Drosophila melanogaster: one gene and its partners. Changing the gene in region 2 together with the main gene of any one other region gives a genetic interaction. Each region holds a gene or a part of one and is shown on either strand. Other genes may lie near its edges. The genes, in order: morgue, hid, p53 and gl.

The links.
Region 1: of hid (region 2) and morgue, changing one suppresses a phenotype caused by changing the other (phenotypic suppression), as found in Drosophila melanogaster (2 studies listed by BioGRID).
Region 3: of hid (region 2) and p53, changing one suppresses a phenotype caused by changing the other (phenotypic suppression), as found in Drosophila melanogaster (3 studies listed by BioGRID).
Region 4: of hid (region 2) and gl, changing one suppresses a phenotype caused by changing the other (phenotypic suppression), as found in Drosophila melanogaster (2 studies listed by BioGRID).

What each region holds. Positions count from the first base shown.
Region 1 is NT_033779.5:4,442,328-4,446,655, forward strand, and holds morgue (modifier of rpr and grim, ubiquitously expressed), read right to left. Parts: upstream 2,354-4,328; 5' UTR 2,281-2,353; coding exon 2,137-2,280; intron 2,075-2,136; coding exon 743-2,074; 3' UTR 543-742; downstream 1-542. Other genes in the region: CG15432 (uncharacterized protein), read left to right, coding at 171-527; Elp3 (elongator complex protein 3), read left to right, coding at 2,484-2,505, 2,568-2,809, 2,866-3,731, 3,785-4,313.
Region 2 is NT_037436.4:18,182,634-18,187,529, forward strand, and holds the start of hid (head involution defective), read right to left. Parts: upstream 3,009-4,896; 5' UTR 2,490-3,008; coding exon 2,159-2,489; intron 1-2,158.
Region 3 is NT_033777.3:23,049,137-23,056,104, forward strand, and holds p53 (p53), read right to left. Parts: upstream 4,947-6,968; 5' UTR 4,873-4,946; coding exon 4,829-4,872; exon of another isoform or gene 4,770-4,828; coding exon 4,446-4,769; exon of another isoform or gene 4,259-4,445; coding exon of another isoform or gene 4,221-4,258; exon of another isoform or gene 4,064-4,220; coding exon 3,983-4,063; exon of another isoform or gene 3,913-3,982; coding exon 3,876-3,912; exon of another isoform or gene 3,813-3,875; coding exon 3,786-3,812; exon of another isoform or gene 3,780-3,785; intron 3,768-3,779; coding exon of another isoform or gene 2,553-3,767; intron 2,095-2,552; exon of another isoform or gene 2,084-2,094; coding exon of another isoform or gene 2,054-2,083; intron 1,989-2,053; coding exon 1,679-1,988; intron 1,615-1,678; coding exon 1,368-1,614; intron 1,306-1,367; coding exon 911-1,305; intron 852-910; coding exon 829-851; 3' UTR 521-828; downstream 1-520. Other genes in the region: Gr94a (gustatory receptor 94a), read left to right, coding at 2,553-3,767; Ctns (cystinosin), read right to left, coding at 5,387-5,492, 5,593-5,695, 5,752-6,040, 6,227-6,587, 6,653-6,835, 6,906-6,968.
Region 4 is NT_033777.3:18,367,398-18,374,489, forward strand, and holds gl (glass), read right to left. Parts: upstream 5,342-7,092; 5' UTR 5,120-5,341; intron 4,473-5,119; 5' UTR 4,382-4,472; coding exon 4,336-4,381; intron 4,053-4,335; coding exon 3,922-4,052; intron 3,439-3,921; coding exon 1,946-3,438; coding exon of another isoform or gene 1,942-1,945; exon of another isoform or gene 1,550-1,941; coding exon 1,405-1,549; coding exon of another isoform or gene 1,180-1,404; 3' UTR 530-1,179; downstream 1-529. Other genes in the region: Nup43 (nucleoporin 43kD), read left to right, coding at 1-464. UniProt on the Drosophila melanogaster protein: Transcription factor required for gene expression specific to photoreceptor cells.

The DNA of each region.
Region 1 (4,328 bases), on a different chromosome or scaffold from region 2:
AAATGTATTCGATAAAATGCCATCGATATATTTCTGGTCAGGTAATAACATCGAATATCAGAAATTATGTAAAGATAACAACGTGCAGTTGGTGTAAACAAAAACAAGAAAAACGTAAACAGATCGGATTCATTACCAATCCATTTCCAGATTGAAAACCCATTAAAGACATGTCCGACGAGTACGCCTGCGTGGCCAAGGGCAAGCTTAAACTAAAGAACGATTCGGATCTCAAGAAGAAAAAGAAGAAGCACAAGGGCAAGGACAAGGAGAAGGAGCTGCAGAAGGCGTTCGTGGAGCAGCAAATAGCGGAATCGGGGGCCACATCCTCCTCCGCCACCAGTGGCTACGAGCGGAAGCTCACCAAGGCCGAGCTGGCCAGTAAGAAGCAGCAGGAAAAGATGCGCAACAAGCGAATCATGGACAAGGCACAAACCACCCACAAGGAGCGCGTGGAGAAATTCAACGAGCACCTGGACACGCTCACCGAGCACTTTGACATCCCCAAGGTGTCCTGGACGAAGTGAGGCGACGCCGCTCGTAACTTAAAGCATACATTTATTATAAGGTTAAGTAATTTCGACTACGTTTCAACCTGGAGCGCAGGAAAAGTGAGAGGGGAGGCCAAAATAAACAATCCAGATGGCACAACTAAGCTAAATACACAGGCATATGTAGTTACAACGTAAAGAGGGGTAGTTTCCAACTTTCAGTCCATTGTCCTTGGAGGGCTTTTGATCTTCTAGCGCGGTGCAATTAGCTCGTACATGGCGTACTTCCATGTCCACGCGCGCACCAGTTGCTCGAACCTTTCGCGCTCGTGCTCATAGATGTATCCAAGTTCAGGCTCCATGCAGACTTCGGTATACGGATCGGTCAGCAGGCTCTGCACAGAAAGCAGCACCTTGGCCACGTTCAGCGCCAGAGACCAGTTGTGCTGCTGGAAGATGTCGATGCCCACGTCCCCATGCCGCGAAACATTCGGATGCAGGATTTTGGTGAGGAAACGTACTGTGGGCGGCGTCATCGGATATCGCTCCGGGAAGTATATGAACAGGAAGAACTTGCCGCCTTCGTAGGGACTGCCCGGTGGCCCCAGAATTGTCGCCTGCCAGTAGTTGTTTTGCCGATCCAACGGTATGGCCGATATGCCCTCAGATTCGTAGCTGTTCAGCAGATTGGCTTCACCGCGCAGAAAGTTGTTGCGCATTACATTGCCCGGCTCCCGATCGCCCAGCTGTGGATCTGCCTCCTGTGCATCCTGACCCCGACCGCCCATCTCAATCAGGCAAGTGCGACAGAAGCAGGAAGACATCAGTGCCCCGTACAGCCGATACCAGTTTGGATTGTCTGCCAAACTGTCGAACAGCGGCCAGCGCTGCTTGATATACGCCTTCCACATGCTCTGGGCCGTGTTTTTCCCGACAATGTCGTGCCATTGCTTGCAAACTTCACTAGCCATCCACAGCGACATGTCGTCCAAATAGGCAAATATTTTCAGCATCACCTCGACGGGTATTATGTTGACAATGTTTCTGCTGCTGCCACTTGCTCCGCTTCCGCTGGCGGCGTTGTATTCATGCACTCGCGCCCTTCCATCGGCCAGCTCATGCATGTAATGGGGCAGAGCCAAGGGAGCCGTGGCCCGCGGACGCTTAATGGGCAGCAGGAAGGGATTAATGGCTCTCTCGTGCTCAAAGTCGCGCTCCGGAGACTCGCGTCGTGGTGCCGCAGCCTCCGGCACCGGCTGTGGCAGATCTATAACTGGTTGGGCTGGCTGTTGATCCTGTGGCTCCATTGGTGGCTGCGGATTTGGATGTTGTGGCACGGCTGCCGGTTGGGGGTCCTCCAGATCCTCAAAGCCCATGATGTCTACGTCGTTTTCGGTCTCCTCGTCTTCCTGCTTGTCCTTGAACGGCGGCTCGTCGTTCCCAGAATCCTCGTCATCGGAAAGCTCCGTGAGCAGCTCCTCCGCCCGCTGTGCGTTGTACAGGAAGGCGTGGCAGGCGCCGCACAACGGCTCCCCGAAGTTGGGCCCATAGTAGCCGTTGCACACCCAGCAGGTGTTACTATTCTGCAAATTGGAAAGGCTATTTATTAATCGGCCCGCAAGAAACTAGCCTATTGTATACATACCGAAAAAGAGAAGGTCGGCTCTACCAGCTGGTGGTGTTCCTGGTCCGGATCGTCCGGGTCGTCCATCTCGTCGCCACTGCTGGCCAGTTCCTTTAGCAACTGCTCCTGGTCCTTTTGCTGATGCGCTGGCACGCAGCTAGTCATTTTACAGAACTCCCGAGAAACTGGTGCTAAAACAAATAAATAATCGACAAACGATAGACCATCTAAAAGTGTTACCAAGTGGTGTTAGCTTCAAAACCTGTCAAACAGTGTTGTGGTTATCGGACTATTGGTCGGTCGATAACCGAATCAAAACAAGTGCTGCTAACTTCACACGTGCAGTTTATGTGATATTCATCAGCAAAATGAAGGCAAAAAAGAAGTTGGGTAGGTAACGTCGCTACGAAAGTAATTCTTTAAACGTCCGTTTACCCCGCCAATTATTTCAGGCGTGGGATTGAGCCGCCAGGAACGACAGGTGCTCGTCATCGGGGAGATCATTCAGGAGCTGCTGAAGGCGCACGAAGCCAAAAAGGATGTAAACCTTAATCGGATGAAATCATTGGTGGCCTCCAAATATGGACTGGACAGTTCGCCGCGCCTGGTCGACATAATTGCTGCCGTGCCGCAGGACGCCAAAAAAATTCTGCTTCCAAAGCTGAGGGCAAAGCCCATTCGCACAGCAAGTGGCGTAAGTCGCACTTGCTTACACAAGGCGTACTATTCATTTCAATTATTTCAATCCAGATCGCCGTGGTCGCCGTCATGTGCAAGCCGCATCGTTGTCCGCACATCAATATGACCGGCAATATATGCGTCTATTGTCCCGGCGGACCGGACAGCGACTTTGAGTACTCGACACAGTCGTACACAGGCTACGAGCCGACCTCGATGCGAGCCATCCGGTCGCGGTACGATCCTTTTCTTCAGACCCGACACCGCGTTGAACAGCTGAAGCAGCTGGGACACAGTGTGGACAAGGTGGAGTTCATCGTAATGGGCGGTACGTTCATGTGCCTGCCGGAGGAGTACCGCGACTACTTTATCCGCAACCTACACGACGCCCTCTCCGGCCACAGCAGCGCCAATGTGGCGGAAGCCGTACGCTACTCGGAGAAGTCACGCACAAAGTGCATTGGCATCACCATAGAAACAAGGCCAGATTACTGCCTAAAGCGGCACATATCGGATATGCTTAGCTATGGTTGCACCCGGCTGGAAATCGGTGTGCAATCGGTTTACGAAGACGTGGCCAGGGATACGAACCGCGGACACACGGTGCGAGCGGTGTGCGAGAGCTTCCAGCTGGGCAAGGATGCTGGCTATAAGATCGTGACGCACATGATGCCTGATCTTCCCAATGTTGACTTTGAACGCGACATCGAGCAGTTTATCGAGTACTTTGAGAACCCTGCCTTCCGCTCTGACGGCCTAAAGATCTATCCCACGCTCGTCATTCGCGGCACTGGTCTCTACGAGTTATGGAAAACCGGGCGATATAAGTCATATCCGCCATCCATGCTTGTGGACTTAGTGGCGAAGATTTTGGCCCTTGTACCACCATGGACGCGAGTGTACCGCGTACAGCGCGACATTCCCATGCCGCTTGTTAGGTAACTTGTCCGATATATATATTAAATAAACCTGACATTTTTCTTCATTTTAGTTCCGGCGTGGAACACGGAAATCTCCGTGAACTGGCGCTGGCCCGCATGAAGGATCTTGGAACCACTTGCCGCGATGTTAGAACCCGCGAAGTTGGCATTCAGGAAATCCACAACAAGGTGCGCCCTTACGAAATTGAGCTAATTCGTCGGGACTATGTGGCCAATGGCGGCTGGGAAACGTTCCTCTCATACGAAGATCCTGAACAGGACATTCTCGTAGGCCTTCTTAGGCTGCGAAAGTGCTCACCGGATACCTTCCGCCCGGAACTGAAGGGCGAATGCTCCATTGTGAGGGAGCTGCACGTATATGGCTCAGTCGTGCCGGTTAATGCTAGGGATCCCACCAAGTTTCAGCACCAGGGCTTCGGTATGTTGCTGATGGAGGAGGCGGAGCGAATTGCTCGAGAGGAGCACGGCAGCACAAAACTGGCGGTCATATCGGGAGTGGGCACCAGAAACTACTATCGCAAAATGGGATACCAACTTGACGGACCCTACATGTCAAAGAGCATAGAAGAAAATAACTAGGTATAGCGTTAAATG
Region 2 (4,896 bases):
CGATTAGATAAATTATCCTCTTGAGTGGCTAACTAAAGTACATGATCGGCGTGCGTTGAGTAGGGGCTTAGATGTGGTTCGGGAAAATGAGATAAGGGAAAATTACTTTTAAATCGAAACTTTCACGATAACGTCAAGTCTTTTTAGCTCGTTTTTCAAAATAAATGCCCCGCAATCGAATTTTCACTGGGCATCAGCTCTCGTAAGCGAAAAAAAAGTATCTCTGTATAAATTATGATATTATAGACGAAAACAGATTGAAGCGCCCAAAAGTGACTCACTGTAATTTCGAGAAGGGAACGCTTTTTTTTCGTCTGACCAACTGTTGCTGACAGCAAAAAAGGTAACAAACCAAATAAAACAGCAAAATAATATAAAGTAACAATTCGGTTGTTCGGTGGAACCAAAGAGCGCAGCTGGCAATCATCGACAGCGACAAAATCTATTATGCAAAGGCAACACAAAATTAAGGAACGCGAATGAAAAACCGCAAAGCAAACATGAAAAGCGCGCGCGCAAAAAAAAGAAAAACAATAAAAACTGACCGCACTCAACGTGGCCGAGCACAAAAGCTACTTAAACAACCGTTAAGTCAAACACTTTGCAAATGGCCCACACCCTCAACCCGTTTGGCCCCCTTTTGGAAAATCGGAAAACTAGTTGCCTAAGGTCAAATGGCGTTTAATAATTTGGGTTAGTCGAGTGGTAAGATATACGAGCAGTACGCTCGAGATAGATAGATATCTTGCAGATACCCAGACACACAGGCACACCACACTCACTCAAAAGTCTCAAAAGTAAGACATTCGACTCGAGTTTGGCGCGTGCCAATTAAACGTGCTTAGCTCTGTGCTCCCAGCTCTGTTTTATTGCCGCTGGGTTATGTTTCCCTGGTTTCAGCCAGGTCTTTATTTTCTTGCTGGTCCAGCACACGCCCAATTTTTTGACCATATTTACGAACAATATCGCATGACAGCCAACTCGGCAGTTGTCTTGCATGTGTCTCGGCGTTTCTTTCTTAAAGCCATAGCACACTAAAAGTTTTATCAGCCTAGTTTAGATAATCATGACCGAAGGAAATTGATCTTAATGTGATTTATCGAGCTAGTTATCACCATTTCTACTTTATTTTCATTTATTTATAACATAAGTAGATTTTTGTCTCAATACAAAATTTTTTAATTTGTAAGATTCCCACTTTGGGAATTTGATCCAGTAATTCCCCACATGATTTTGAGTTTTTGCAGTTTTGTGACTTCGTTTATTAAGTTTGCTCTCTCCTCCAATCGAAACTTCTCAATTACTTCTCAATTTTCCCCTTTTTGAACTTGTTCGATTAATTTTTATTGAATTACCGTTTTTTCGGCTTCCTTTCGAATGTGGCCGAGAAATTTGCCTTCCGCTCTGCCTTTTACACTTTTTTTTTTGCTGATAAGCTGACAAAGTGCTGAATTGACCATATATAAAATAAAAAAAAAACTGGGTAAAAGTAAACAAAAACAACCTGGATGCAGTTGACGCAGTTACTCGAAACTGGATGAATCAACAACCTTGAAAAGTGAAACTTGCACAAGGGGAACTGAAGCAGTTAACAAATAACGTCACAACTTGGCTAATTGCTGACCCATTTTAAAATGAGGGAAACCCTCCGGCTGTCCAGAAACTTTCTTAAACTAAACTAAATGATATTAAAAGCGGTAATCAAAAATATGAAACCTTTAAAGTCGCTTGTATAGAAAAAAATTGTTCGCCATTTTTTATTGATCAAATCTATTAGTTTGAAAATATCTTCAAACATTTAAAATGCTGTTTTTTCGAAAGAAATAAATTTACTATTCTTTAAGCAATTTCAAGTTAATAACATTTTTTGTTTACTTTTACAAGGAGATCCTATGAAAATCCTTCTTGTTAATAGCAAAACAAGTGGGCTTAAATAAAGTGTTGGTTATAAGCATTTTAGAAAATATATTACCAACATGCGTAAGCAGTTATTCTGTGTGGGAACTTCTTAAACATTTCGCAATTAATAACCGTATATGAATCGAAACTTATTTTTGTATCTGCAAATGTATTTGAGGTAAACTAAATGGATATCCTGATTAACCCACACAATTTCAAAGTTCTTAAGAGTGGAGAATTGAGATCTTTGTAGACTTACCACTCTGCTGGCTCTGGTACATCCTGACCCACTCGTAGAGGGCGTATAGCACTTGGTCGGTGGGCAGTGGAGACTGCATCGGCGTCTGCGTGGCCGACGAGGTGGTGGTGTTCGGCGATTGCGAGGCGGCGCTGCTGGCGCCGTCCGACGATGCGGAGGACGAAGATGAGGCCGAGGAGGCGGAGGCCGAGGACACGCCCGAGGAGGAGACGGACGAGGATGCGCTCGAGGGAAGTGGGTGGTTGTGGGGGGAGGAGTTGCCCGAGGCTCCCGATGAACTCGACGCTACGTCATCGGCGCCGCCCTCGGGCAAATAAAAGGGCACGGCCATTGTGTGGGTGTGTGTGTGTGCTGGCTTCCTTTTTGTCCTTATCCGCTTCCTTCCTTCCTGCACTTTGTTGGCACTTTGCTCTTCTTGTGATTGTTCTTCGCTGCTTTGTTTTGCTTTTTATTTTGTGTACAACTTTTGGTTAGAGTTCACTTTAATTGATTTTGTATTTCTTGTGCAAGATTTTGAATATTAGAAACTTTTTCATTTTTCGTGCAGTTTTTTCTTATGATTTGTTTTTTATCTTTCCTGATTTGTCAAACAACACTCAAGTCAAGTTTTTGCTCGGTTAGTTAGTTTTTCGGATTCTTCTGCGTTTTTCATCAACCCTTTTCGTGTTTAGAACTGATTTAAAAACACAAAACTGTTCACGATGGATTTCGTTTTTTATTTTTTGTTATTTTTTTATTCTTTGCTTTTGCTGTTGTCAATTATGGAAGAGCACTTAAAACGTGTCGCAGACTCAAAGAAAGAGGGCAGGAAACACGTCTTACTGGCTCCGCGGCTAAAAATGAACTGTTCGCACTGGGGCCTCAAACTACGGCAACAGAGCCTCTACCGCGACGTCGGCAGAGCGGCAGCGTAGGCGCGCAGCCAGTGCAATCGCAATCTCTCTCGCTCCCTCTCCTGCACATGCACGTGCATGAAGGAGGCACACTTGAGAGAAAAAAAATATTTTAAAAAATCCCGCTCTTTACCTACCCTGTAATAGCTGAGTGAGGAAGAGTATACTCGGACCATGAATTGCGTCTACATAAATGCATCAAGGAGCATAGTTAACATATCTAGATTTTAAGGTTGTAAAAATTTAATTGATTGGCTTTCGCATACTGAAAAAACTGAAATATTGTACCAGCGCACTAATTGCTGAAGTAACACTATTTTATAACTCATATTTACTTACAACATAAAGTACATATTTAGATGCACAAACAATGTGAAGGGTATGTCTCAGTTGGTACTCTTACAAAACGTTCTTTCTCGTTTCAACTAAGAGTGTGTGGGCAGGCTGTGTACGCGTGTATGTGTGGGTACACAAAGATCTTGTCGAGCAGGTAAATTCAGAAGAAGAAGAAAACTCATCAGAAGTAGCGAAGAGGCAGTATATCCGACTGCGCTGCCTAGCGAACGCTAAAGCAAAACAAAAACTGCAATTGTACAACACTCTTTGCTTGTGGTTTTCGTTATTGCACTTTGCTCTTGCTTTCGGTTTTGATTTGTATTTGTTTAAACAAGAGAGCGGAGGGAGAGCAAGCGTTCTTAAGAGGCCAAAAAACCGGAGTAGAAAGAGTATGATAAATGGGAGTATATTCTATGAGCGGATTAAATGAGTTAAAAAGGTAGTAGAAAAAAGGGAGTTTTTAGACAAAGCTTGATTACTTTCTCACATTTTAAAATATTTTGAGAAGGGAAGTTCACAATTTTATAATGTTCAATACTTTTTTTTTGAATATAAATTTGAAAAATAGCAACATGATTAACAAAGGATCCAACTTGCTTAGCTCAGGTTTTACTGGCTAAATGAATGTACATATGTATGTATGTATGTACATTTATGCAGAGAATGATTAGCTAGTTTATTGTATTTAATAAAATAAATTAAATTGTTTTATATTTTGGGTATTCAAGCAATGTAATAAAGACTATTTAGTTGGCGTTCATTCACATTAAACATTTCAAACGTGTTTTTGAATATACGATAAGGAGTTTAGCTAATTACATTTCCGATTTGGATGTTGGCTATATTTAATCAATTTCACCATATATCAAAAATTGACTGTGCAACATGAAAAACCTGTTTTCGCTCTTACTCTTGTCTTCCTCTGCATCTTCCCCTCTCCCTCCCACACATTATACAAACAGGCTTTTTCCTCTCCTTTTCTCTCTCTCTCTCTCTCTCTCTATTTCCTTCTCTGTCATTCCCAACTTTGCGCGCGAAAACGCTTGAAAAAAATTACGAAATACGCGTAAAACAATTCTTGGCTTTTAATTTAAATTTTACGGCAAATAATTCTCGTAACTGGCATTACTTTAGATCCATTTATTAGCTTTGTATCTATGTAGCTCTAGTAGCTCTCTTAATAATGTGGTATTATAAAATGTTCGCAATATAATTTAAAACAAATTAGATTCTAGACCTAAAACTAGTTTAATAGCCCATATTTCAAAATAAAAGAGGCCCGTCGAAAATTCTGAAGAAAATGCACTTGCATTTAATCTAGTTTTATTATACTTGTTCATATCCCTTAAATGATTACCTTAAATTTTTAAAATCAAAAATGATTTTAGCCCTACCTGACACCTTTTTTGTTTTCACCCAAAAACTCTCTTTATTTAATAAACTAAGATTGAGGTCAAAAATATGCCGATAAAGTGCGATAACACGTAAGCTAAACGACTCGACGACAAA
Region 3 (6,968 bases), on a different chromosome or scaffold from region 2:
AAGTGGCAGCCGGTCGAAGAAGGACAGGCCCCAAATGGAAGTGAGTGCATCCGCTTTGGCTGAATTTTTGGACACAGAGGCTATCATTCCGTTACGATTAGGGCGCACTTAATGCCCCTGCCCTAGGTCAATGAACAGCGATCGGTGGGCTAGAGTAAACATTTAGCTGCCGCATGTGGCAAAAGCTAAAGTCGCCTGCAGCTGCAGCGGCACAGTGTCAACATCTGGTGTTTGTTGCACTTTTTTGCATCCTCGCACATGTGCAACGCTGGCGCAACGCATGCGCCCTGCTTGAGGTTGTTTTTTTTTTTTTGAAAGCATAGAACTAAAACCAAAGACGTGCAGATACGGGTATAAATAAAGTATGTAAATGCGACGCAGCAATTTTGACATATTAGCAGCTAGCTAGCTGAGTTGCATCCTGAGTGCATTGACCGCACACAAGCCACACATGTCACATAGCATGTGCTCCACGGTGGGGGTACAGTAGGCTCTGGGCATTGGCGTACACCACGAGGATATGTTTGCAAAATATGACAACTCTTTAATAAATTCACTTTTGGCTTTTTTGTACAGAGTATGTTTGTTGTGGTAGACAAAAGTTACGTAGTCACATAGAACTGCAGTTAACAACAGTATACTATCAAAAATATAAAAATGTTTTCTTTTCGGCCATCGAACATGCCAAAAGGGGAATATCACCGTTAAACGCCTTACGAACAAGGACTAATACAAACTTAAGATACTAATAGCTATGTAGTATACCCCACAGATGCAACACATTTCAAAGGTATCTGATACCTGGGAGATTGTCGACCAGATCAGAAGTCATGGCAGCTCGTAGGCACGTTCTGAAAGGAAAGTTCGGTAAGTAAAGCTTAATCTCTTTGTCCTCCGATTCACTGCTTACTCTTAAGGCTCAGCAATTTGTTGGCATGGCGACGTAGATTCTCTTGGTTGGGATTGCGCAGGACTTCAGCCGCCGCCTCCTTAATCATGCCCTCGATGCTCTGCAGCAGCCATTCCTTATTGGGGCACGTAATAGCCAGACGGTAATCGCCATCCGGTGTCCGCGACACGTTCCACTCTGCGGCGGAGTCGTCGCAGTCTCGGCTATCATTGCTCTCCGTGTCCTCCGTCTTTATAGCAATGCACCGACGCACCTTGGACGGCTCATCTTCTTCGGCGGCTTCCGGCACGGACTTGCGCTTCTTGCTATTGAGCTGGCGTTCGTCTTGGATGCGATCCCGCTTGGGGCACGTACATATTTTAACATGTATAACATGCTGTCCCACGATATCGCCGCTGCAAGAAAGAAAACACGTTAAGCTTTGTTCTAGCCATCTAGAGTTTTGCTGTCACCTTACCATGCTTTCTCCAGGCAGAAGACTAAGGAAGTTTCTTTTCGCCCGATACACGAGTTTTGGCAGACGAACTTGAAGGCCAGGGTCTGGCGCGTGAGCCCACTGCGGGTTACAGACCGGCTCATGTTCAGGGGGACTACAACGGAAAAACGCTCGGAAATTCCCTTGCCCTGAGCATTTCCACAATATACACTGTTGGGATTCTCGCTGCGCAGCAAGCTCTCGCGCATTTTTGCGTTATTGGCCGTCACTAAAGGTTTGTACAAATGATAGTTAAATAATCCTGTTCGATCTGTATTGTTATCTTCACTTACAAGGCTCAACGCTAAGGTGATTTTGACAGCGGACCACGGGAGCACTCACATCATTGGAGAAGCAAAGGAACACACGCAAATTAAGTGGTTGGATGGGCATTTTAGACTTGAACTGAACGTCCACGTTGAAGGCCTTGTTCATCCGGATGTAGAGCTTGTTCAGCGGAATCGAGTACATCCAAAGAGACTTGGGCGGCTCATCCAGAACCATGCTGAAGCAATAACCACCGATGTTGTGATTCTCTAGCTTGGGCAGCGTGTTCGCCTGGATCTGAATGTCCTGCAGCATCATTTCGCGCAGCACGGATTGCTGTAAGCAAAAACAAGATATTATTTGAATGTCAACTTAACTCGCAATCATATAAGGGTTCACACTTTGCGCTCATAGAGCTGATAGAGCTTCATGTTCCAGCTTGCTCGAGTTACAAATGGACTGGCGATTTGTTTTGTATTCTATTCTATTTTTCACAAGTGCTTGAAATTCTCGCTAAACGATGACGACGGGAAGGAGTGCACCGTGCTAATCGGCTAGATAAGAGTGTTTTGTTCTGTCCTCCAACTGAAAGTGAACTTCGAAGCGACTTTGACGTCATGTCGCTCTTATGAAATTGCAGGCAGCGGCTGAGTCACGCAAGGAATGCCGCTTCCCTCACGCTTCTTATGCTCTTTTGTTTGTGGCTAGTAGTAGCACAACGCATGCTCAGTTGGTTTCTGGACGGCCGGTGAAATACATGCGTTTCGCGATGTGTCCCGATAGTGTCCGGCTACTTGACAGGTCCTCTAGATGGCATCAGTTGGGTAGTTGGAAAACAATTAAGCAGATATTAATGCTGTGGAAAGTGCGCTCACAGTTTGTATTAATTGTTCGAGAGAAATGGACTTCACCAGCGACTACGCGCATCGGCGTATGGTGAAATTTCTGACGATCATACTGATAGGCTTTATGACCGTCTTCGGACTCCTGGCCAATCGATATCGGGCGGGCCGTCGTGAAAGATTCCGCTTCTCAAAGGCAAATCTGGCCTTTGCTTCGCTGTGGGCAATTGCATTCAGCTTGGTTTACGGGCGGCAAATCTACAAGGAGTACCAGGAGGGTCAGATCAACCTGAAGGACGCCACCACTCTGTACAGCTATATGAACATTACGGTGGCTGTTATTAACTATGTGTCGCAAATGATAATCAGTGACCATGTGGCCAAGGTGTTGAGCAAAGTGCCCTTCTTTGATACCCTAAAAGAATTCCGTCTGGACAGCAGGTCGCTGTACATATCCATCGTTTTGGCTCTGGTCAAGACCGTGGCTTTTCCTCTAACAATTGAAGTGGCTTTCATACTGCAACAGAGGCGGCAGCATCCCGAGATGAGCTTGATCTGGACCTTGTACCGGCTGTTTCCCTTAATTATTTCGAATTTTCTCAATAACTGCTACTTTGGCGCAATGGTGGTGGTGAAGGAGATTCTGTACGCTCTGAACAGACGGCTGGAAGCGCAGCTGCAGGAGGTGAATCTGCTGCAGAGGAAGGACCAGCTAAAGTTGTACACTAAATACTACCGCATGCAGCGATTTTGCGCCTTGGCGGATGAACTCGACCAGCTGGCGTATCGCTATAGGTTGATATATGTGCATTCGGGAAAGTATCTGACCCCAATGTCCTTGTCCATGATTCTGTCGCTCATATGCCACCTGCTCGGAATAACGGTGGGTTTCTACAGTCTGTACTATGCCATAGCGGACACCTTAATCATGGGCAAGCCGTACGATGGTCTTGGATCGCTGATCAATCTGGTTTTCCTCTCCATCTCGCTGGCGGAGATCACATTGCTCACGCATTTGTGCAACCACCTATTGGTGGCCACCCGAAGATCGGCAGTCATTCTCCAGGAGATGAATCTCCAGCATGCGGACAGCCGCTACCGTCAGGCAGTCCACGGCTTTACTCTGCTGGTCACGGTGACCAAGTACCAAATTAAACCCTTGGGCTTGTACGAGCTGGACATGCGACTGATCAGCAATGTCTTCTCGGCGGTGGCCAGCTTCCTGCTGATCCTCGTGCAGGCCGATCTGTCCCAGCGCTTCAAGATGCAATAGCTAATCGATGTTACCCACCTGGCTGAACTGCATCAGATTCCCGGACTGCGGGGAATAATATTAAATAGTTAGTAAGCTATAGCTTTGCACATTAAAAGCACAACTCACGTTTAATCCCTGCAAGAAGGCCATGGGTTCCGTGGTCCTGGAATAATAAAAACAATAATAGTTAGCAACCAGGCAAACCACATGTGACCACGTGACCAGGTACTCACAATTCCGATCCCGATACCTCCACCGTTTTCGGAATATCCTCCTTGATATCGACCTCCGTGGAGTCATCCTCGGAATCAGTGCTAAAGTGTAAAAGGGAAATAAAAACTTAGTGGCAAACTGCGCCTTGGCTGGATAAACAAACACAAACAAGTTGGCCGCGCGAATGATGCAAGTACAAGCGTGTTGCTACATGCAAGGTTTCTACTGTTCGATCATCAATTTGTTGCCGCACTGTACCTTTCTTTGTGCCACGACATTGGCTGTGATATATACATCTTAGTCGGCTATATCTGATCAAGCGATCTTGTTGGGGAAGGAGGCTAAATATTAAAAATTCGCTAACAAAAAACTACAGAATCGTAGTGGCCACCGACTATTTGGATTTTGCCATTCGCCACGCAGCGCGAACAATCGCCGTAGCCAATGTTTATCGATTGGAGCGCGTGTTTTGAATTTGCTCACCCCTTGTGGCAGACGAATTTGTTGCATGCATTAATTTTGTTATTGCCATCGGAATTATTGTTGGCCAAAATTTCCAGATTGTTCGTGAACTGCATCATGTTGTTCGTGTTGTTGCCTCCGTAGGCTGGATCCACAGGCGTAGCCAGGTGGGCATATTCGTTGGATTCGTTGCCAAAACTCTGCGGCAAGTTGAAAGCTCCGTTGCTGGAGACCCGAACTGCTGACTCTGCAGAAACTTCGTTGCCGATATCCCAAAAATCCAGGAACTCCTTGAAAGCTTCAAAAATTGTGCGACTATTGCTACGCGAAACAATCGAAGTGTTTCTGCAAAAAGGCGCAACATTATTTTGTTGGGTAAGACCGAATAAAATATCTCCGCTCACTGGTTAAAAGTCAAGCTAAACGACGCGGACTTGTGAAGACTCATGGCTGTGCACTCAAATAAATAAATTTTATTTAGCAGTTGCGATTTGTGTCCGCAAGAATCTTCCGTGCTCCAGGGATGTCAACTAACCGGAAATTGGCTAACTTAATGTCATATATCCATGGCTATCGATAAGCTATCGATAAGGATTTGGCCGAGTGCGAACAGTGCTGCCCATTGTGCGGCAAGTTAGAATTTCTGTTTTGAAATTTTTTCAATACTTCAATCTATTTATTAGTTTGCAAATAACGCGCCGTATGCAGCAAATTGGTTTCACTGCACAGCCCTTTGAATGGTCGAGCAATGTACCGTATGATTTCTGGCTCCTACAAAAAATTAAGTTTTATTTAATGGTGAAATTCCAAATTTTAGTCAAACTAAATTTCAATTAAAACGCACGAATTATACAAAGCTTAGGCAGCTACGGCATACGGATATATTTACAATTCTAAAAATGTACATAAAGCGCTACTGGCACAAAAGTCTTTCTCTACAGCAGACATATGATAATGCAGCTCTAATATTTCTCAGTCGTCACTTCGCTCGGCGGCGGCGACTCATTTGTTCGATTTTGAACATCGGTCACGGTGGTGAGGTCAGAGCTCGAGGATTCCCTCGAATGCCTGGGGAGAAATGGAAAACAGCACAGCAATAATGATAAGTGTACAGTGGAGATGACATAATCGTAGATTAAGTATCATATTCACACAATGTTTCAATCACCTGTAAAACACATAGTGCTGCAGCATGAAGAACACATCGAAGAGCACGGAAAACAGACCCAGTCCGAATTTGGTGGGATCACCGAAAATCGACACCCAATCATCTGGAAACCAGACACGATTTCATTCGAAAATCACAAATTGATAGACTATATCCTACCGTAATTATGAGCATTCAGAATCATTTGCAGCATGCTCAGCGTTCCTCCCGTGAAATCCAGCAGAATGTTGCCGATGCTCCAGCCGGAGGTGCTCTTCCGGCGATAGTTCATCAGAGCTTGCGGCACGTACTTGATGATGGTAATGGTTAGCTTGACGTAACTGCAGTAGTACAGAAAGTCCAGCCAATGGATGACGGATCCTCCGGCCAAACCGGCAGACACGACGACCACCACGGCGAAGATGGCCAATATTCCGTAGGCAATGAACGACACCCTTTGCTGTGCTCTCTGGACAAATTTAACAAAGTATGGATGTTTTACAAGTCAAAACCTTATCTACTCTTCATATCGTAACTATCCGCTGTGATTCAAATGATTTGGCATTTTGATTGATGGCAATTAGTGTTCAATGCGACAACTGTTGCCACTTCGGCGATAAGGCTATTGAATGGTATTTGCTATATATATTATTACCTGATAGAAAAAGCACTGAAGGATCGTAATGCAGGTGGCGAACATGGCATGCAGTGAGAAGACCACGTCGTTGAGCATCACAGGATTCACTCCCAGCGGATATCGCACCTCGTACTCGTTCTGCAGATCCTCGATGAAATAGAGGCCGCAGTTGAACATGCTGTACAGGGTGAAGCCCACGATATTGAGGGCCAGGAAATCAAAGTTCAGTCCCTCGACGGACTTGCGGCGATAGTTGCTCCAGATCTGCGGATAGAAGGACACCGACCAGGCCACAAAGTAAACCCAGCCAAAGATGATGGAGGTGTAGATCAAAGCTCTCGATTTGGCCACAGTCACGCGTACGAACACATCCTTCACACTGGAAAATAAGTGAATTTTCCAATTAGGTACGGGAACAGTTGGGATTCCCGTGAAGTTACTCACATCTCTTTGTTCGCATCATCGCTATCTGCGACCACTTTGACGTTGCCGGCTTTGAGGCCAGTTATCACCACCGACTGATTTCGAGTACTGCCCGCTGGATACACAAACGTTGCGGGATCGAGGAGCAAATGATCCTCCGAATCTGTTCCCAGCGCAACTTCCACGTCGCTGTCTAGCAATCCGCTGTAATGGGCACAATAGATTTACGATGCCATATGTTTTGGATTTGGATTTCCCGGCAATGGCAACTCACTTGGCGAACACCAGAAAAGTCTCGTTGCTGTTCAGCAGAACGGTGATGTCATGGGAATCGACG
Region 4 (7,092 bases), on a different chromosome or scaffold from region 2:
AGCCGAAGACCACCTTTATGGTGGCCTCCCAGGATGACAAGTCGAACTTTGTCTCGTCCCTTGCCAAGCATCCGATGCAGCAACATATTTTACTTTGCGGCAGCGAAGAGGGTTCCATAACCGTCTGGGATATGCGAAACCTCAGTTATCCCGCCTCCTATCTCAGCGCTCACAAAAGTCCCATCAACGAGATAGGCTTCCATCAAAAGGATCCCAGCAAACTGTTCACCGCCGCAGAAGGTGGCGAGGTGTGGATGTGGTCAGAGAACAAAGTTCTCGGGTGCGACTATAACAAAGACGGACACAGCCCCTGGTTGTCTGGCGATCGTGTTCGCTCCCTGGTCGATGTGGAGGGAGTGCTGAGTAATGTTCGCAAGTCCATCAACTCCTTCGATGTGCATGGAAGTCGTCTGGTCTGCGGAGGCGACACAGAAGCCGTTTACCTAGTTGATAATATTGTTTAAATGTCAAGCCTTTTGAATTCCTTACCTAAATTATATAATATTTCAATTGTTGAAATCAATTAGTTACTGTATTTAATTTTCGTATATTTATTATTTTCTTTATATACTCCAAAATTGGCTTAGATCAAAGCACCTGTCTTACATCTACGTCTAGTTTAAGCTTAGGACTCTATATTCGTATACAGGTGTTTATGGGTTTAATGCCTTGGCAATTCCAATTTAAATATTCTCGTTTTGGGTGCTGCTGTGTTGTTTGGTCTTATGATTCATACTCATATCCGTCTTAAATCCTATTTCGTTGGCTAATTTGGAATAGATTTATGCGTGTTTTGAACTACCTTATTTAATGGATGAACTAACTTGGATTCAATGCATATTAGGCTAAGCGAATATAATAAATATAGTATGTATAAGTATGTACAGTGCAGCTCTTAGGCCTACTTTTGTTCGATTCTCCGCGATTCCTCAGATTTGTATTGTTTGAGCATTTTTAACTGCATTTGGATGCGGATTTGGGTTATGAGTATTATTACATCGTTATGTTCAATTAGGATTTCAATTTAACACGAACCCAAATTATTTTTCTACAGCAATGTTGAGTATGGCATATACATTATTGTATTTATCAGCGATAGAGTGACTATCCCCGTATAATTCACTGAGTGGTCCTCCTTTAAGGTTTCTTATCCAGATGGGATCCTCCAGATTTTAGTCCCTAGTAGAATCGTTCGAACTTGGGCGCCTTGTTGAGTGCGCAGAAATAATACCCTGAATAGTTTTGTGTGGCTCCGGGTGGAGTATAATCGCCGATGCTGTAGTTCCCGTAGTCGTAGTTACCCATGTGGGCGTGGTGATGGTGATGGGCGTGGTGCTGGTGGTGCATGTGGTGGGTGTGCGGGGGGTGGTAATGCTGGAAACCTCCTGCACTCCTTGGCTTTTGTCATGTGAGCAGGCTGTTGCCACCACCAACTCCGCTGCCGGTGGAGGACTCTCCACCAACTCCGGTTGCCCCATTGCTGCCATTGCTGCTGTTGTTGTTGCCGTGGACGCGCATGTGCCGATTCAAGTTCCCCGACTGCGAAAATCTGTGGACACCAAAAAAGCAATTAACTCGATGTATAACGTTCCAGGACTGCTCTTTGGGGGCCTAAGCCTTTTTTAAGGGGTAATTTTCATCTTTAGCATTACATTTGAATAAACAATTATTATTTCATTTAATTTCAGTTCTTTAGTTGAAGTTGAAAATCTTACGAAAATGCATGAATGAAAATGAATGATGCATATTATCTTTGGTTTTCCTTTTTTTTAAGCTTGCAACAGTCTCAGTTTTGTTCAAGTTGTTAGTTTTATATTGAAACGATAGAAATTATTAAACTATCTTTAAAGCTTTAAGGGTTTACGTAAAAGTAAAAGCAAAACCATTTTCGTTCGTTTAGGAATGAGGAAGGACGGTGTAAGTAAATCCCCCATCCCGGACTCACCTGAGCAGGCAGAGCTTGCACTGGTAGGGCTTCTCGCCACTGTGGATTCGCAGGTGCTTGGTGAGGGTGCTGCTGTCCGAGAAGGACTTCTTGCACGAGGAGCAGCGGTACGGCCGCTCGCCGGAGTGGGTGCGCATGTGCGTGGTGACACTGGAACTCTGCGAGAATCTCCGGTCGCAGATGGGGCAGCGGAACGGCTTCTGGCCGGTGTGTGTGCGTACGTGAGCCGTCAGGTTGGCTGCCTGCGAGAAGCTCTTGTTGCAGTCGGGGCATCGATAGGGTCTTTCGCCGGAATGGGTCCGCAGATGGGTCTTGAGCGTGCTGGGCCGGGCATATGTCTTTCCGCACAACCGGCATAGATTGGGTTTCATCTCGCCGCCACTGCTGCCCTCATCGCCGTCCAGATCCTCGTTGCTATCCTCCTCGTCCTCGAAGGCGGATAGACTTAAGCCCAGGGCGGCTGCCTGATAGCTGGTGGGACTTTTGTGGGGCGGTGTGTATCCCTGATTGCCCACCCCCGTGGGATAGTAGCCAGCCAAAGAGGAGTTGGCCGGCGGCGATGGCGACTCCTTTTCGCCCACCGTCAGCGGTGGCAGGGCACCCAGACCCGTGGGAGCCGGTGCCCGAAAATCCGCTGTAAAGGAATATGTGGCCGAGGCAGGATAGTGACCGGGACTCAGCAGCGGTGGGTATAGCACATTTACCGCCGCTGCTGCTGCTGCCGCCGAGGTGGAGTTACTGGGTGGCGTCCAGTTCATCTGGGAGCACTGCATTGGCACGCCGCCTGCATCACCGGCACCGTAGCCATGGTGCATGGTCATGTTCATGCTGACGTTCACGCTCATGCTGGGATACATGGCTGCCGCCGGAGGAGGAGGTGGTGCGGCCGTTCCAGCACTGGTTTCATAGTAGCAACTGGCAGCGTTGGCCACTCCTCCGGCACTACCATTACTGCCGATATTGTTGCCACCACTGCTTTGGAGGAGAGAGTTGCCTACGTGCGATGCCTGGACTTGGGATTGCTGGTGCTGGTGCTGCTGGTGCTGCGAGTGCATCTGGCCATGATTGTGGGAGTTCGGCGAAATGAGCATCTGGTGCGGATGCACTGTGTAGGAGAGTGAGGCGGCCTGGTGCGGATTGCCGGCGGCAAAGTTGTAGGAAGCGCCGCAGGGCGAGAATGGGAACAGGCTGGGCAGCGGATCGATGTCCAGCGGCGGTAGGCCGGGAAATGTGGAAGCCATCTCGTCGGTGCTCCAGTAGCCGTGATTACCCGAGGAGCCTCCTCCGGCACCGTTGTTGCTGCTCCCGTTGCCGCTGCTCGCCGGTGGTGTCGTGCTGATCTGGATGTGGCCGCCACCGATGCCCACGCCCACTCCAATCGTGGGATCGAAACAGCCGCCGCAGTCGAAGTCGCTGCTGGTGAGCGAGGAGATGGGCAGGGCGGTGCTGCCCTGGCAGGATAGGCAGCCGACGCAGGAAGCGGCGCACTCTTGCTGCACGAGCGAAAACGGAAATGGAGATTGAGACCGGTTATGAAATACATTCAGTTAGTACTAATACGTAACTAAGACAAAATAATTAGTTAGTTAGTGGAAACATTTAGTAAATTTTAACTATTTTTACATTCTAATACTGACTTCTGAGGAGAGTTTAATTGTATTACATATGGAAGGAATTTCTAAGCTATTAAACTTCCCAATAGATAAAATCGTATGGGTTAAAAATGTAATAGATTACTTTAAAAACGAAAATGATAAACTTCTTAGTACAAAACTGTCTGATTTTTCAGTTACCGATATAGCAAATTAAAATAACCACAATTTCGGTATTGGGTTCTATTTCCTGGTTATAAAATTTAAATAGTTCAGGTATATCACAGATTTCAGCTAAGTTCTTTCCACGAAACAAGCACAACCGAACGCTCGAAGATTTCCGGAGATATTGAGGCGAAATCGAAAAAGGATTCCAGGACTCACCTGAGGGCTGTCCAGCGCCAGGCCGAACAGGGGATTGTTGGGCACATAGCCCGTCTCTGGTTCCACAGGACCGCCGTTTGAGACATCGCACGATATGTACATAGCTCCACCCTCTTGATCTTCCAGGGAATCTGCGCAGCCAAAAAAAAAAAAAAAAGAACAGCATGAAAATCACTGGAAGTACGCCAGAGATGCTCGCCAGCAGCGCGTATCTCATGGATACATTTTTGCTCCCATGACAACCACTGTGCGCACTAGCTCCGCCCCTCGAGACACACACAGACACACACAAATACACAAATCGAGAGACCGCCATTTGCTTTGCTCTCTCGACTCGCGACTTTCCATCCGTGTATCGCCATACAATATGCTGTATCTGCATATCTGTGCAATGGTGCTTCCGATTTCACTCACCCAGAATTGTGTTCAGGAGTTTGGAACCCTTATATAACAATCCCATGACATGACTCCACTTCTGGAACGTTTGGGCTCAGCAGTCGCGCATTTGTTCCTGCTTTTCCTACGCTTCATCTTGATGCGTTAATTTCCAACTGCAAGGCGATGACGGAACATTATTGGTAAATTCTAATTAAGATTCACTTTCTATTCATTTATTCAAATCTATTATTCAATTTATTATTTATTCAATCAAATACCAATATCAAATCTAATCTTCATATATTTTCAATAAAGTGTTAATAAATTCAGTTTTAAATAAAGTTCGACAGCTAATCAGAAATTAGATACACAATATGACAGATTCTTCACCTCTAAATTTAAAAGAGATATCGAATTATAGATCGCTCTTATGACGAAGATGGATTTCAATTCGATTGTTTCATTATTGTTAGGACTAAAAAATTATACTAAAATTACAATAACTTTCATTTTGAAAGAAACAAAACGTTAAAATTGCTATTTAACTAATTTATGCATGCAAATCAAAGTAAATTTTTGTTTTTCTTTTTAATGAGATCAAAGCTATGATATTGTTAAATTGATAAAATCTTCTTAGTGAATTGATTTTTTCGATCTTAGCCAAAACATTGTTAGGACATTTTAATTAGCTATTTGCAGTTATTAGGTTTTATTTCAAATACATTAGTTGTATTCCATTTTTTCTTTCTTCTTTTTTATTGCAGATTTAATATTGTTTATTCCGTTCTTTATTCACATATGCACTCTTAATCGTTTTCACCTTCTGAATAGATCCACAAATGGCATGATACCAAGATCACCAATAGAATTTCAACGTTTTCTTGCAAAATATGTTTGTAACTTTTTTTTCGAAGACTCGGTTTTAAGTAGTAACACACGATCGTTGTTTTCCGATTTGAATTTTATGCGTTTTCAGTTTTCGATTTTTCGAGTGCGGGGCAAGAAGCGACTTTTGGCGAGGAGCATAAGACGGCGACTAATTGTCAGTTGCAGTTCGGTTCGAGCCACCTCGGCCCAAAATCGACTGATATATCGGATTGGCAGAGCGGCAGCAAAGCGACAACCGACAACTACAGAGGAAGCAGCAGGGCGCAAAAAACATACTCACTTAATTATAAACAAGCGACAAAAGGGCGCAAAAGACAACGGCAACAACAATCTCGCTCGCACTCACACTTTGGTCGGCTATAATGACACAAGTACGCAGCACTACACACTCGAGACCCTTGCTGAAAGCACCCCTCCTCCAATACCAAACCCATACCATACCATACCCACACCAAGCCATCCCGCACTATATCCCATGCCCACTCCTGAGATTCCATCCATCCACCACCACAACAACGCTGCCGTCATCGTTGTTGGCCAACCAATGCGCTCCGTCTGCCGGCTTTTGCGGCTACTACCCACCCCTCTGCTGCTTCCACGTCCACATCCTCATCCAAATCCAAAGTCACCCTCCTCCGCCTTCGCCTTCGCCTCCATATCCGACTCCTCCGCTGCCGATCCCGCCCAGTCCGAGTTTCAGGCCCATTCATACGTGGCCAGCTACATCGGCAGCAGTTTTCAGTAGTTTTTATTTGTCACCCAATATCTTACAGCTCGACACCAGATACCAACGAGGCGGGGAGAAAAAAGAGTACACTTCGAGAAATAATCGCTAGCAAGCAGTTCTAGTGCTCTAGAATGTTACACTTCAAAATCGATGGCCGTTCAAATAACGTTGTTTTCAATTCACAAACAAGTATCCTCACTTTATTTGTTGAAAAGAAGATATGAAGTTCCTTTTCCTTAAAATCTATAGATGCACAACCGCAGATTGTCGCTAAATTCTTAAGAGGACATCAAATCACTTGAGACTATTTGATATGCTTGTGATTAGTGAATATTTTCGATATATAACATATTATTTACTTTCTTAAAATAAAGGTATTGTAATTTTATTACATAATAAACAAAAAGTACTATAGGGATTATTAATAAACAATGTAATTGGTATGATATAAATATGATACAAGAAGTATTGAAAATAAAGTAATTCACATATTAAAATGGGAATTTTCTGGCAGGGTCTCTGATGAGGGAGGGACAGTTGCTACGGACTTGCCAACCATTGATCGTCTTCGTCGGCATTCTGCTTCCTCTTCGCTCCATTGTTTTGTGGTTAAGTGAGGCAGTCCATCGGCCAAGTCGGCCGGCAACCCCCTGACTGCTTCTGTAGCTTGTATCTGCGTATCTGGCCGTGTGTATCTGCTTCTGTTGCGTGTATCTTTGTATCTCTATCTCCGGCGCTGATTCTCAATTGTAGCCCGGCCAATGACGACTGCCAATCGATCGATGCTCTTGTCGCCGGGCCGACAATCGTGAATAGTTTGAATGTTATTTGATAGTTCGATTTGTGGTCGCAGCAGAAAAAGCAAGGAATAAATCGCAGGCCAGATGGAAAAGCAAATGGAAATTATGAAATAGATGTGTTAAGCCCAACTCGACTATATTTAGCTAAGATATATTATAGATATAATGCTATGAAGAGATCCCAATTCGGATCGATCACCTGGTTCACACGCCCGAAATCGAATTCACCGCCAATTGGCAAAATCAGTTGAGTGCAAAGGCTTGCAGTGATCGCATACGTATCGAGCTATATCCCCCATATCACCTTACCTTATCGATGGGAATTTCAGGTCAAGCCCAGCCAGCGTCGTGTGTGTTAAAATCAGATCCACAGTCTGA